Lonchura striata: one gene and its partner. The protein of the gene in region 2 binds, or shares a complex with, the protein of the main gene of each other region. Links are inferred from orthologs where the notes say so. Each region holds a gene or a part of one and is shown on either strand. Other genes may lie near its edges.

What was found. The genes of interacting proteins can lie anywhere in the genome.
Region 1: the proteins of UBE2I (region 2) and RWDD3 are in contact, whole or in part, in a crystal structure (PDB 4Y1L), measured with the Homo sapiens proteins. The link is inferred for Lonchura striata from reciprocal best matches to the Homo sapiens genes UBE2I and RWDD3. Residues at the interface, in NP_003336.1 of Homo sapiens: Leu6, Ser7, Ala10, Gln11, Arg13, Lys14, Arg17, Lys30, Gly34, Thr35, Met36, Leu38; in NP_056300.3 of Homo sapiens: Glu3, Pro4, Glu7, Ser10, Val11, Ala13, Ala14, Ile15, Cys17, Pro98, His101, Glu102, Leu105.

Annotation. Positions count from the first base shown.
Region 1 is NC_134611.1:21,409,717-21,417,560, reverse strand, and holds the start of RWDD3 (RWD domain-containing protein 3), read right to left. Parts: upstream 3,071-7,844; 5' UTR 3,056-3,070; coding exon 2,971-3,055; intron 2,699-2,970; exon of another isoform or gene 2,271-2,698; coding exon of another isoform or gene 2,264-2,270; intron 1-2,263. UniProt on the Homo sapiens protein: Enhancer of SUMO conjugation.
Region 2 is NC_134618.1:17,602,634-17,609,792, reverse strand, and holds the start of UBE2I (SUMO-conjugating enzyme UBC9), read right to left. Parts: upstream 3,086-7,159; 5' UTR 2,636-3,085; coding exon 2,580-2,635; intron 235-2,579; coding exon 156-234; intron 1-155. UniProt on the Homo sapiens protein: Accepts the ubiquitin-like proteins SUMO1, SUMO2, SUMO3, SUMO4 and SUMO1P1/SUMO5 from the UBLE1A-UBLE1B E1 complex and catalyzes their covalent attachment to other proteins with the help of an E3 ligase such as RANBP2, CBX4 and ZNF451.

The DNA.
Region 1 (7,844 bases), on a different chromosome or scaffold from region 2:
CTGCCCCTCCGACAAGGGCCTCCTGCTGCAGTGATGTTATTCTTAAACGTGCAAAAATCTCACACCTTTCCTTGCGATGAACTAATCTGAAGGAGGCAGAACAGCCTCGCATCCCAAGGTGTATCACCCTGAGCCATCAGGAAAAGCCCAGCTGTGCTCATTTACATCTGCTTCAGACTTACTTTCAAAAAGAAGAATCGGTTCAAAACCTTTGCAGGGCTACAGCATCTAAGTTTATTTAAACCCTGCAGCGTCCATTTTCTGCACCAGCGCTGCAGACACTGGCAGAACAAAGAGCAAACCACCGGCGCCCTGCGCAACCTGGCTCCAAAGAAATATTTCCTTTGTTTGCACATGCTACAAGGGCTGAGTTGTCTTCACAGCAACATGATGATTATTTCTGAAATAAAAGGTTGGGTATGACTGTTCTGCTGGCATTTAATGTGCTAATCAGACTAAACTCAATACATTTTAACTCATTTCCCCCCATAGCAGCATGCTTATCAGTATATTTAGCTCTAGCGTACTTCAGATTTTTTTCTTATGTTCCATGTCAAGCAGACAGATATCCCCCTCCTCTCCTGCCCAAAGGCATTTTATGCAACACATGCAGTCTATTTTTAAATTCAGAAAATGGCACCTACTAATGTACAAGCTTAGAATATCTAAATATATTTTTATAGCAAGCTTGGTGAACAGACCAAAAGAAAGAGATTAACAATTAAATGATGGATTTATATCTGTAACACTAATCTTTGCAAATAGATATGTAAGGTAAAAAAGATATGCTGTAATTAGTTTATTTAAATTCATCCACACATTGGTTTTGATAAAAACACATTTTACATTCTGAATATTTCATTGTTAAATTCCAAAAAGCCAAAGTTTATACCATACCAAGAGACCTGTAAAAGCATTCTCTTACATTCCTCAAAACCACAAATCCCCAGTGGCCTCCTTTTTGATCCCATGGATCTACACACAAATTACTCTTAATGTCTTAGAGATTGCATAACATAACAGTCTTCCTGGAAGTTATGTCTGTGCACCCTTGGTCAATGACAATTTACATGGTTTGAAGAGATAAAGCAAATGTAATCTAATGACTGGAGCACAAGTTAATTGTATACTGACTAGAGATTCTGCAGCTCCAACAAGTAAATTCCAAGAGTAAGAAAAATACCAATAATCATTATTGTAAAATAGTCTTTTCAATTCCAGTAGAAAACTATGCAAACCTATCAAATATACCTGATCTTACCATATCATGAATACAGCCTGGTTAAAGGCCCTCCAAGATCACATAACATCAATATAAATAGTCTACTCCCATTGTGCACTTGTGGCACCTTACTTTATGTCCAGCAGGAGTTTTAAACCTTTTAGATTCCGGTAACTTACAAATACAAAATCATTTTTCCATATATGAAGCACAGAGAAGAACGTGCCTGCATTTCTCAAAAGATTTAGAGGAACAGATGTGTATGTGCAATGTTCAGATATGCTCACGTTTTTTTAGATTAACATCTGATAAGCCTGGATACTTCTTTTTCAAACTAAGCCCAAAATAACATTCTTGGAATTTTTCACTTAAAAATAAAGCTCAGTAGAAACATTTCATCGATCATATTCTAAAGATACAACCCTAAATACCAATTTAAAAAATTAAATGGCAGATTTACATGCCTGCACTGGAGCAGGAGGTGTGTCATGTATATCTAGATATAAAATTGGTGGGTTTAGATGACTGTGGTTAATTGTGCTCTCTGCAGACATTAATGCCTTCATCCAAACTCTCCCCTCAAGCAGTCACCTACAGCAGCACAGCTGCCCAGGACAATATCCACATATTCTGAATATCTCCAGTGAGGGAGACTCCACAATTTCTCCCAGCAGCCCTCAGCACTTAGTCACCCTCACAGTAAAAAAAGTTTCCTTATCAACCCCAGTTCTTTAGGGCTGAATAGGTACCTGTGCAGACAAAATCTGACAGCAGGCCCCTACATGCATCTTTAGCAGCATTCCCCAGGACTTCACTGCCATCCAACCAGCAGGAAGCTGCTCCCTGTCCATCGCTGTGCTGGGCAGAACTCTGCAAAGGCTCCCAGACAGCAGGGACCTGCGGTACACAATACAGGCTTACTCTTTGTGGATATGTGCATGTGTATCTCTCTCCAAAAAATATCTACGAGTTGTCACATCTGTGGTAGGCACAAAATTTAGGAAAAGCCTGAATCTAGACACCAACACTTGCATATCCTACCTGACATTTAAGCCTGACTGAGCTGTTGTTGTACACTGGAACTGCTGAGATTGATGCTGAAGGGGCATCTTCACAACACTGTACTGCACAGACTGAAAAAAAACATCTCTTAGTACTGTGTTCTGATCAGTGGTCACCATAGGTGGCGCAGAAACCATCACGGCATCTACACTCCCAGCACTCCTTGTCTACAGCATCCAGCAGCTGATGGGAGCAAGTACTACAAACCCCGACAGACACGGCACAGCAGCCTGGGTCCCCTGTAAAACCTACAGCCGTACACATCTGGCTGAAGCAGGAGTAACATCTGGCACATCACAGTGCCCAGGTAGTCAGCTGACCCAGAAAAATACAGAGATAACCCAATGTTCCTCACGCACTGCAACAGCTGTACCCTACTCAGTATTGCCAGACAAATACACGGTCTCGTTAACAAGCTTCACCTGCCTGTCTGCCCAGAGAGCAGCCAGCCGCCCCCTGCGCTGCCCCAGGCTGGTCCCTGCCCAGAACCGCGCAGGGCCCGCGGGCCCCGCGCCCCAAGCGAGGCGCCAGCGCAGACACCGGCGGGGCGGGGACCCGCGGCAAGCGACGGCGGCGAGCCCCGCGCCCGTGCTGAGCCCCGCCGGGAGCGGCCCCGAGCGCTTCCTCCAGGGCCCGGGTCGGGCCGGGAGAGCCCGGGCTGTGGACAGGGAGCGCGGCCGCATCACCTGAGGCCGCCAGCACCTCGCAGGCGCCCGGCTCGCAGTAGATGGCGGCGAGCGCCGACAGCTCCTCCCGCGCCAGCTCCGACATGGCCGCCGGCGCGCGCCGCCGCGCCCCCTGCCGGCCGCGGGGCCTGCACCGCCAGGGGGCGCCGCCGGCCCGGACCGCGCCGTAGGGAGGAGAACAAAATGGCGGCTCCGCCCGGCCCCGCGCCCTGTCCCTGTCCCTCCTCCCGTCCGCCCGGCCCTGTCCCTGTCCCTCCTTCCCGTCCGCCCGGCCCCGCGCCCTGTCCCTGTCCCTCCTCCCGTCCGCCCGGCCCTGTCCCTGTCCCTGCCCCTCCTTCCCGTCCGCCCGGCCCCGCGCCCTGTCCCTGTCCCTCCTGCCGTCCGCCCGGCCCTGTCCCTGTCCCTCCTGCCGTCCGCCCGGCCCTGTCCCTGTCCCTCCTGCCGTCCGCCCGGCCCTGTCCCTGTCCCTGTCCCTCCTCCCGTCCGCCCGGCCCAGTCCCGAGCACTCCGAACCTGAATCTCCGTCCCTGCCCCAAGGTGCGGAGCGCTGTGCCAACAGTACCATTATGATGCCTGGAAGATAGGCTGGAAATAAATCCTCAGAGAGCAATGTCTACAGAGCAAGTATTTGTTCACAGCAGCCTGGTGGTGAGGAGGATATCTCTACCTGCTGACCCACCTTTGTCACGGGCTGTGGTACGTTTATACAGGAACTGGTGCTTAGTGGTGCTGTGTCACTACAACATCATATAGGCACCATACATTACATAATATGATCTCATGGTTATTAGACCATTAGAGAGGCTTGTGCCTCCCCAGTTCAGGGCTCATCGGAGGTCTTTGACGAAGGCTTCCAAGGTCTTCTTCACATCTGAACTATTCAACTTTGTCTTTGGAGCATGCGCAGTTACAGTGTTCCTGGGTCTGGTCTTGACTGGCCTAAATTCTTTGTTTTGTGGCCAGTTGGCTTTGCATTTGCCAATTTTTCATTAGTACTATACTTACCTGTCTCTGAAGCTATCCACCTGACATGTTTTTTCTTCTTTTTTGTCTATTCAGCATTAAACAACTAGTTAACCATATGCTAGATATTACATTGTATAAAAAGTTATTTATATCAGGTTATATAGATATAAAAAACTGATTCAGGTTATCTAGATAGCAAGTTATATAGATATATAAAAAGTAATTATTTAAGTTATATTGATATCAGGTTATATAGATACATCAGGCTATACTGGTATCTTGTAACTCAAGCTATATAAGCACATTGTAATTTTGATCTAAGTTATATAGGCATATTAACTCCCAGGCAAAATCATCCAGTATGTCCCATTATTACAAAATCTCTTTTAAAAGCAAGGGCTGTGGTGGGGGTACTTCTTAGGAGAGTATATCCTGGTATTTCTAACCCCCTAAGTTGTGTTGAAATAACAAGGACTAAGAGCTGGCTGGGCAGGGGAGGAGGAAGATGCTGGGAGGGAGCAGCACAGCCAGGCTGCTGTCAGGAAGAAGGCTGTGGTGGAAATTAGCCTTAGAAGTGCCTCCATTCCATTATTAAGAACTTCCTTGCCCTGGTCTTTCCCCCTTCTCCTCTGCCACTCTGCATATTCCATTTTACCTGTTTAAATAAAAAAGTCGATGTAAATGTCTTTTGAATTGACACTATCACAAGACATGGTGGTCCCTATGAATAAGTTACTGCACTCTGACATTTGGAAGTCATCAAATGAGACAGTATAATGTCAGCTTGATATTTTTCAGTCTATGAAAATATCAGCTTCATGTCAAAGATCTAAATTCCATCTTAATGTAATAAATTTTCATGTATTCACAGACAACTGAAAATGCTAAATATTTAAATTTGAAATGAACATCTACAGTTACAATCTGGCCTTCATATTGCATTATTATGAAATTGAAAGTCAAGATCTTATTTCCGCTCTTTATTTTTTCAAGCATTGAAGTGTTTGATAGAATTGTAGCCATATTCTCTAAATGGATACTTCCCCATCAACATGTGGCAAATAAAGTTTAAAAAAAAAGTTTCACTTTTTAGTCAGCCTATATTAAACCAGCTCCAAGATCCTGTCACAGAACAATTGTGCCACCAGTATCTTCCACTTTGCCGGACAAGGCAAAGAGATTGCAACCCTTCATACATAGGTTAGATTAATCTTCCCAGGGTTATTTGCAAAAGCAGTATCCTTTGCCTTCCACTCACTGTAATTACAGCCTCAATTGGGTGTTGTTTCAACAACCACTAGTGAATATACACAAAATGGTGCATTTAGACCAGTTTTGCCATAACCTGAGTGGCAAATCAGAGGAGGAGTAGACAGACATTTGGAAAAAAGTAAATTTGGAATATCCATCTGTATCTTTTTACCATCAGTTCCATGCCAGGCCCTTTGCCACCTCCGCGATCGTAACTGCAGGCAGAGCTAAAAGCACATCCTGCAGAAGACATTAAAGGACACAAGGAAGTCTAAAGTCACTGCAGGTGCCCATTTGGGGCTCACAAGACCACATAAGGAATGAGGAATCCATAACCACGGGAAGTTGACAGCTGACCAGTGCAACACAAACCACTTCTGCCTTTTGTCACTGCTGCAGGACAGCTGCAGTGCCTGTATTTTCTGATACCACACTGCTGCCAGCTCTAATGCAGCCAGAATGGCATTGTCAGAACTGTCCTTACCCGAGTTAATAGCAATGCTTTTTCAGAGACCTGAGAAAGAAGCTACCATTTCTCTAAAAACAATTGTGTTATTGCAGTGGTAGAAGTCTTACCCAAAGCGGCTTGTACAAAAATGACAGAGAGAAACCAACAGGAAACTTGTAAAAAAATCTCTCCAAATAAACTAAGGCAAAAGCTTGAAGGAAACAGAAAAAGAAGCAAACCCAGTAAATGTGAAAATACATGATAAAAGACAGAAGTATTTTTCTCCTAGTATTCTTAAGTACAACTAGTGGAAAAGTTTTCCTTTTTTTTCTCCTGTGTTTTTTTTACAGTTGAAATAAACTCATTTAACAAAAAATTTACATTGCAAATTAAAGCTGCCAAAAATTGCTTGCTTTGCTCTAAGGTTAAATTCAGCATTTTCATGAGGTTTTGCTTTTCAGTTCTTGAAAATGAGGCAACAAATTCTCAGTGATATATAAAAAAATACTTAATTTGAGGGAAAAACAAAGCAGAGGAAAAACCTTTTCTATTACTTTTCCTTTTAAGTATTTTAGAACCAAGTTTTTCAAGGATTTGTGATCTAGCAGTGCTTTTTAAAGGCACTTGCATTTATCCTCCATGCATCAAACTGCTCTCAGTCAATTCCCTGAGACACTTAATCTTTTGGCAGATGGAAACTCATTTTGAAAGTGTACTAATGATCAATTAAAGCATTAGCTATCTCTGCAGACAGGAGGTTTATGGGGTCATAGTCTTCAGAAGCTGGAGGCAAGAACAGCAGCATGCTAGCAAAATAGCTAAAACTTTCTGTAGTTACTACAAAATTGGCATAACACTGGAAAACAAAACACATTACAGTCTTTTTTTTTCCCCATAATATGTAGAAAACAAATGTGATGGTTTCTATTTTATGAGAGAGGCCATGGTCCAAACTGAATATCAGCAACAGAAATAATCTAATCTTTTCAATTTTCTTAATGAAGCCTAATAACTATCCTAATAACTTCCAATAAATTTACATAATCCTTTGAAAATTGGATTAATTCTGACTCCAGTCAAAAGTATGTACCCACACTGCAAATAGGCAGACCCCTATTGTGGGGAGCTGCCACTGGAATCTGTGGCTCCCTGGTAACAACATGTCATTTCACACATGGCCAAGGCCCCACAATAAGGTCTGCAGTACCTTCTGCCCAGAAGTTTCTATGCAATGTGATGTACAAGTAGTAAGACCAAATAATGTAACTATCACATTCATAAAAAATATGATTATTCCTTTAGGAGTTTGACATGCCATTTTTTCTTGAAGGAGATGCATATAAAAGCAATTAGCCATCTAATGCAAACTAAAATGGTTGCTTTTTATGACCTGACATGTCTAATATGACCACAGATTCCACTGATGAGAGAATCAATACTTACTTGATTCACTGCATAAATATCTTTGCATGCAATTTACCTTGTACAGAGGTAGAATGATAAACAGAATACATTTTCTTTCAGTGAGAGTGAAAATGGATGAAGTTGCCTACTAAAAATCTGTAAAAAGCTAGCAATCCTGTGCATTTTTTAAAGTAACATATGTAAAGATACTTGTGGGTAGGAAAGGGTATGATACTGAGGAGATAGGCACATCTAGCATTGAGTACTATATTCTAGTCTCAAAATGTTCAGCTTCCACATCAAGTACATTGGCTTGTGGAACCTTACTACACATGGCTTCTCCTCCAGGTGTAAGCAAAGGAGGCTGAGAATTAGCAGGCCATATCATTTAGTCAGTGCTGAGAACAGAAGTCTTTAAAGTGATGGCTCTGAAAGAGGCATTTCTACCCTCTATAAAAAACAAACTTTAGTAGAAGTCCAAATATTAGGAAGTACTTCTTAGTCTGGCAGTTCATTTTTAGCTGCTGAGCTACAGCAACCTGCCTTCATGTTTTGTAATTTGGCACATTAGCTCCTCTTCCCCTGCACTTTGATACAAGAGCAGAACAAACACAATGGGAGTGCATAAGATGACAGACTATTTATGACCATTTTCAGAGCACTGAGAGGTCCTTTGTCACTCTCACACCTTTTGAAAGCAGAACAGTATTCATTAGTGCATTTGCGACTCCAAATTTACAGAGCACATTAAAGTCCTGATGGTAAATAAATTATGTAAACACTAGGCAGAATTTCACACTAAACT
Region 2 (7,159 bases):
TATCTTTACACAAAGTTACTTCTTTTTGCACTACTTTTTTTTTCAATTTAAAAATAATTATTTTAATTTAAAAAAAAATCCTATCAGGGTAATGAAAAAATCATCACCAGAACACTGAAACAATTGCAGTCAGATTTGGTGGCTTTGGTACTTACAAACGGATGATCTTTTCTCCAGGCTTTTCTCTCCTGTGCAAGTCTGCTAAGAGCTATGCCAGACATATTCAGAGTCCCTCTGAAACAAAAGTAATTGCTGTTAGCATATACTTTAACTTATAGCATAAACAATGCATTATGTGTTTATAAGCCCCTGCTCACTCAAGAGTAATTTTGACCTCTCATTTTCACTTCAATAACCTAGCCACATGTTTCTCACAGCTGGCAGAATTTATCATCAGGAATAACATCAAATTTCCCTATGCCATCAAGTTCTTAGTTACTGGACATGACCTACAAAATTCCATTCTTACCTTATTGTTTTATATTTGAACCCCATCTTCGAAGAAACTTTGACAGTAGTTTGACAATAGAAACAGTATTAGTAATGGAAAAAGTGTGCAGACTTCCTACTTGTGCAAATGACACACTCTTTATCTCCCTCCTACACCACATGCAATATGGCAAGTTTCTTCTGTAGGCAAACACCTGTATTACTCCCATTTCTGCAAATGGGAATAAGAAATACTACTTTTTGGGTAAATTCCCATTGAAAGCCAGTATTCCCCACAAAAGCAACAGGGGCATAGAATTTAACAAAGTCATCTCAGTTTTGCAGTGATGCTGCTATAAAACTTCTAGACAACATCAGGAACAGGCAGCAACTTAGCTAAGGAAGAGCCAGCAGCTCATTGCACAAGACAGATTTTCAATTCCAGTATAAACTGAAGACTATTTCTGAACCTTCACGGCCTTAGTAATAGCCAAGCATGGTAACCACCATAATAAACCTTTTTGACAGCAGAATAGTAGAATGCTTCCACTTGAGCTCACAGAGTGACTCTCAGCAGTGTTACCACTCTATTAAAACAAACCCTTATACACTGGTTAAGGATTATGCAAAATTTCACAACCTCTCAATATGTTGATTATTTATAAGAAGTACTGCAGTCTACTACTATTATAAGCATATGAATTGTAGAACTTTAAGCAGCTTATGCAGTTCCTAGAACAATATCTATTTTAAATCTGTTCTCCAACCTTTTAAGACTGTTTTGCCTAGATGGCCATATTCCCTAATTCACTTTCAAAGTAGCAACTAAATTAATGTCAGATAAAGCTTTTTAAAAGGGACAATTCACACTCAGTGGACATGCACACACACAAAAATATTCCTATGTTCAGTCTGATTTTCCTCCAGTAGTCCCAACACATCCACCTCTGTATTAATTATGGCAGAAGACTTGCAGGACTTAGGGAATGTGTACACATGACTTCAGATTTTAGTCTGCTCACAAGCTGGAGATGCAGAGCCATTGAAAAAAATACCAGTAGAACTGAAAAAAAACCCAAGAAACCAAAGACAACAAAAATCCTCTCCCTTAACCAAATTATACAGGCTGCAAGTTTTACTATGTCATGAGCAAGTTTTAATATGTTGTAAGAGATGTAAATGAACTGAATGTACAGCAGAATTTCAGCTGTGCCTTTGGTACCTGGTAGTCCACTGTACCAATACTAACTTTCCCATCACAGGCATATTTGCTTATAAACCATCCAAATATTCCCACATAGTTCACCAAACTCAGCTACCTTTTCTGCCAAAAAAATGCATTACAGGATGCTTTCAAATATATTTATTCCATTTCCTGTGGCTAACAGCCAATTAATTACAACATGAACCTCAAGGGAAACGCCAGTTTCTCACTGGGTAAATAAGCAGCGGATCTTCTGCAGAACATCAGTAACCCAGTAACTTTTTGAGTAATTGAAAAAAAAAAAAAAATCCCGAGTACTTGCTTTTCTTACACACTATACTGTGCCTTAGTACAATAAAGGTTTTTCTAATGGTCTACAAATAACTTTCCAAATCTTGAGGCATTAGACTTAGTTAAGCACTGAAAAATTTCAGCATGTATGACAGACAACAAGCTTCACATATATGGTTTCCATAGACTTCAGTTACACTGACGAGCAGCTAAAACCTCATCAGTCTAACAGAAAATAAAGATTAAACAAGACTGAAAGCTCATTTCACAAACTAAGATCCCATTAGTTAAGCATCCCTTCACAAGCTAACTGGCAATATAAACTCTCTATATCCCAATCTATTTATGTACTACATTAACAGAAAGAATTTTACACCAGAGGAAGTCTATTCAATTCTATTTTGTGGCACATGCCATGAAAGTCAAAGAGACCACTCTTCACGTTTTGAGTTGAATCCCCCAAATTCACCCCTGCCATTAAGAGGTAGTAATGTCCCTTTTACTGCCATCAACTCAGAAAGTTAACAGAAACTTCCAAATTTACTCAATAGCTTGCCTTTGCTGCTGCTACTGCCTATTTTAAAAAAAGGACGAAATAAAATCATCACGCTTATCATAAATGCAAATTTTTGTGTCCCATTACAGAATATCTTACCCATTTACACTCTCCGATGAGGTGGAATAACCTACTTTCAGACACAAAACGCACATCTCGCAAGGAATCGTTCCTGTGCCACAAACAACTCTCTAAATACATCAACAATATGCTCTTTGAGGTTCAAGAACTTTCAGTACGACTTATTGATTCCAAGCAGCAAGAAAAAAAGTCCCCAAAACGTTAAGATTGCTAGCCTCATTTTTTACTTTGCAGGTTAAATACTGACATAGAAAGTCAGTATTATCGAAATAGTTTGCCCCGAACTATTGCAACTTTATTTTTCAGAAGGGTGGAGAAAGCCACGGTCTAAGCTTTAGTCAAAGCACGCTAACTCTGGACTAGGATAGAAAGTCTCCTCTGCTTGCGGCAAGAAAGGTAGAAGAGGCCGAGCGGCGACCGGAGTCGCTCATTAAACAACAGAAGATGCCGCGCGGCGATGGGCTCGGTGTTCGACGGCCAAGTGAGCGGACAGGGCCGAGGCCCGCCCGCCACCACCGAGGGCCGCCGGTCCCGTCGGCCCCGCGAGGGGCCGAGGCAGCGCCCAAGGCCTGCACGGGGCACCGCGGGCCCGCCCGCCGCTCCCGGGCAGCCACCCGGCGGGGCGGGACGGACCGCGCAGACCGAGCGGCTCCACGCCCCGCTCGGCGACCTCCGCCCGCCACCGCCAAGAGCTGCGAGCCGCTCGGAACCTCCGGCGGGCAGCGCCGCGCCGCGCCGGCCGGCCCGGCCACAAGGCAGCAGTCGCCAGGCCCGCACGTCCATCCGCCGCTCCCGTCCCGTCCCGCCGTAGGCGGGGGGCGCCCGCCCGGCCCGGCCCCGCTCCCCGACCCCGGGGCCGCCGCGGCCCCACTCCCGGGCGGGCCTCACCGAGAGCCGCCGCCGCCGCGCGTGTCCCGGATCGAGGCCGCGTCAGTGACCCGGATGTTCCCGCTCCCGCCGCTTTGTCTCCACTCCGGAGTTTCCCTCCCTCTCGCCTCGCCGACGAGCGCGAAAGCGCTATTCTGTCCCTCGGCCCGATCCGTCTGTGATCCCATCGTCACGCTTTGCGCATCCTCACGACACAGGACCCAGAGGTGCCCCCAGCAGTGCCTGAGTACGGAACACTAGAAACCCCTCCGCAGGGCTACACCGAAGCCGAGCACCTCCCGTGCCTTCCGCTGCCCCGCTCCGGCCGAGAGCCGAATCAACCTTTACCTCTGGCGCTCCGGGAGCCGCCTGTCGCTTCCGAAGGCCTGGTGTGTCGCCGGCGCGCTCGGGTCTGCGGGCCGCGCTCCAGCCGGGCCGAGCCCCGCCCCTGCCCGGCCGGGCCCGCGGGGCGGGGCCGCGGCTCCCGCGGCACTCCCGCGGCGGCGGCCGGGCCCGGCGGCCTATCGGAGCCGGCAGCCGCTCGGGGGCGGGCTGCGTTCGCCTCCGGCCCGCGCTGCTTTCGCTGACCTTTACGGGATTTCTGACCTGGGTTTGGTTTCCTTGGCGGGGGACGAGTGGGAGGGATGTTGTTTGGGTTTCTAAGAACACATTTTAAATGGCAAGTGGAGTATGAATCACATTCTATTCCCATCTTGAACTTGTCTTTCTTAATGAAACTGAGGAATTTTTAGTCCTGAAATCGCTGCCTTGTGCTAGTCTGTATCAATGTTACTTGAAAGATGTTCTATGTAGTATTAATGCTCAAAATGGTTTCTTCAGAAGTCTAGGATTGACTATTTCAATAAATAATCACCTGGATTCCAATCAGCCCTAATCAAAATCTTCAGCAAAGATCACTCTACCTAAGAAACCTTTCAACAGGGGCAAATGCACACTGTAGACCAGGATAAATACATACTCCCCTGTGTAACTTTCCACACAGTGACATGAAAAGCAGTGGAAACTGTCAACACCTGGCTTGCAGGACCTCTCTCACGAAATTGTACACATTACAGTCTCTGAGAATGTCACATACATGTGTGTATGACTTATGAGGCAAGAGTTCAGCACACTGAAAGATGAACAGCACCCAAAACGGTGAATTTGCAGGATCATTTTCATCTTTTTGAAGTGAAACTTCTCACTGAAATGAAAACTAGTGCCAAATGAACCCTAGATGTTATAAAAGATCAAAACAGGTTGCTAATGACTAAGTTGTTTATGTCCCCTTTATAACCTGGTTTCTAGTTCAGGGTAGACACTTGTCTCTTTTGTGCTCTCATTTTTCCTAAATGGCGAAAACACAGCAACAGGTATATAGAATATGAATTTGGATTGAAAGTCGTGCTGGCTGACTCTAAAATATAAATATTTTTAGTAGGACAGTCTGATGAAAATACAGGTGCACACACTGATTACTTAATTACTGTAATTGCTATACTTGATTACTACAGCAGTGTTTGTTCTTAGCACTTATTTTAGTAAAATTCAAATGCAATTAAATGCAGCAAAACAGTTTAGTAAAATTAGAATTTTACTGATGTTGCTGAATATACAAGGAAATAATAGAATGTGCTTTGCACTTAAAACTGACTAAACTGTTAAGATGAAATTTGCTTCACATGTAACTATAGAGGCTTTAGGAATTTAAAAATCATGGGTCTTAGCTTCTCAAGTTCTTACTAGCAGTTTGGGAAGTAAGAGCTGTCCAGTGGTCTTCTCAATACTAATACTCAATTATAAACTTTTCTATAGTTGTAGAGGACACAACTGTCAAATTTCCTGGATAATTTCAACAACCTGTACTTTGTACTTATAGTTTACTTCCTTAAGCCATTTCTATCCTTGAAACTTATTATATGTTTGACTTATTACAAAGCATCAATTTCCAATAGCTTCGTTTTTCAAACAAAGGAAGCACTTATATTAAAAAGCAAACTAGCGGATTCTAGAATGTTTGCTGTTAGGCAGGGTGGTTTTTGAGTTGTGCAAAAGAAAATGTAAGCAAAGTCATTAGTTAAAACTTTTTCATGTGATTATATATCCATAGAAGAGACAACTATTTCCTCCTACAATAACCAGCATGTCACAGCAACTGCAAAGGAAAATAATTTCCCAACTGATATATATCTGAATAGACCTAACTTTTTTGTGACAAAGTCTTTGGGGCAGCAGTAAAGGATACTTCTTTACAGAGAAGAAAGCATTAATGCTTTGAATCACTGCACAAATGTGCAACTACATTTTACATCTCAAGTGCTAAACTAGAATTGTCACAGGATATGACACTATTAATATCAATTAGTGCATTTAGAAAAGACAGATGTAAGACATCACACTTTAAAAGGGAAAAACCAGGTTTATTTCATGCAATTTACAATACACTAGTGTTATGAAAAGGAAGTTAAAAAAATACCCATACACATTTCATTTGTTTGTTTTGAAAGTGATGGTTAACTGTAACCACCTTCAAATTATTTGGGAAGCCCTAGCAGATTTTTTTCCAGGGAAATTTCCCTGGAAATTTCAGTTTCTTCAGTTTCTTGTCTAGTGTCTGTGCTATGAGTTTTGGTTAATGCAAATGCATTAAAACCAAATCCTAACTCAAATTTTGCTGCAGTAAGAACACTTCAGAGATAATGAATTGGCACAAAATAAAGTGTTATTGCTAATCCACTATCCAGGAAATGACATGTTGCAAGTATGGCCACTTGGGTATAAGCACAAACAGCTGATGCACAACTAATTTTGAGACCAGTGATTTGGAGGGAAAGGTTAAAAAGAAAAAAAATGTTGAATTGGGTAGGTGATCCTAAAGAGTGCACAGGAAGTTGATTTCTCACAGCTAGGTTGAGGTAAGAAGCAGGTGGAAAAAGCTGCCATTTGATACTGCTTCAGTCCGGTGATCTAATTCCAGTAGAGAGGTTGGTAACATTCCTTTTAAGAGGGCCTTGGCACTTGCTTCTTTCTAGCAAGTACACATGAGCCAAGTTAATGTGAGTAAAGTTGTGCATAAGCTTTTGGAGAATCTTCAAAAGTAGCAAGAATCATATAGATAATAAATACTTTTATTCTTACTCTTTACTCATTTCAGATGACAAGGCCTCAAAATCACAACAGGTCTTGGGTCAAAATTTAGGCTTAGCTTTCTAAGGCAAGGAGAGCTCTGTCACAGAACCTCTTCCCTTTCCACTCACCCCCAAAGTAGCAAAATGACTTTAAAAAAAGTTTCTCTTGTTATAGTACTTATTAAGATACAATATCCTCAAGTTATTGTGAAATGTCTTTCCAGACAGCCTCCAGAAAGCTGTATTTGCAGAAGTATCTACTCACTGAACTTCTGAGAAGTTTATGCCTTGGCAGACATCATTAAGTAAAGTTCAACTAAGTTGCAAAGAAATATTCTGTGACAATTTCCTGGGGCAGAATCTTCCTCAAAGCTTCTCTATTACCAGTGCTGTTCATAAAAGTTGTTATATTTCAGCAAAGGCAATAATAAAGTGGACGGTAAGTGTACTGTCTTCTCTAGTGTGCTCTTACCCCATCTGGATACTGAAAATCCAAGCCATATAGGAACACTTACATATGCAATTGGTTCAGACATTTGTAAAAAATATTTTAGAGTCCATGAGTTGAAATGGACTAGTTGTTTTTTAGAAATTGTATGTCTC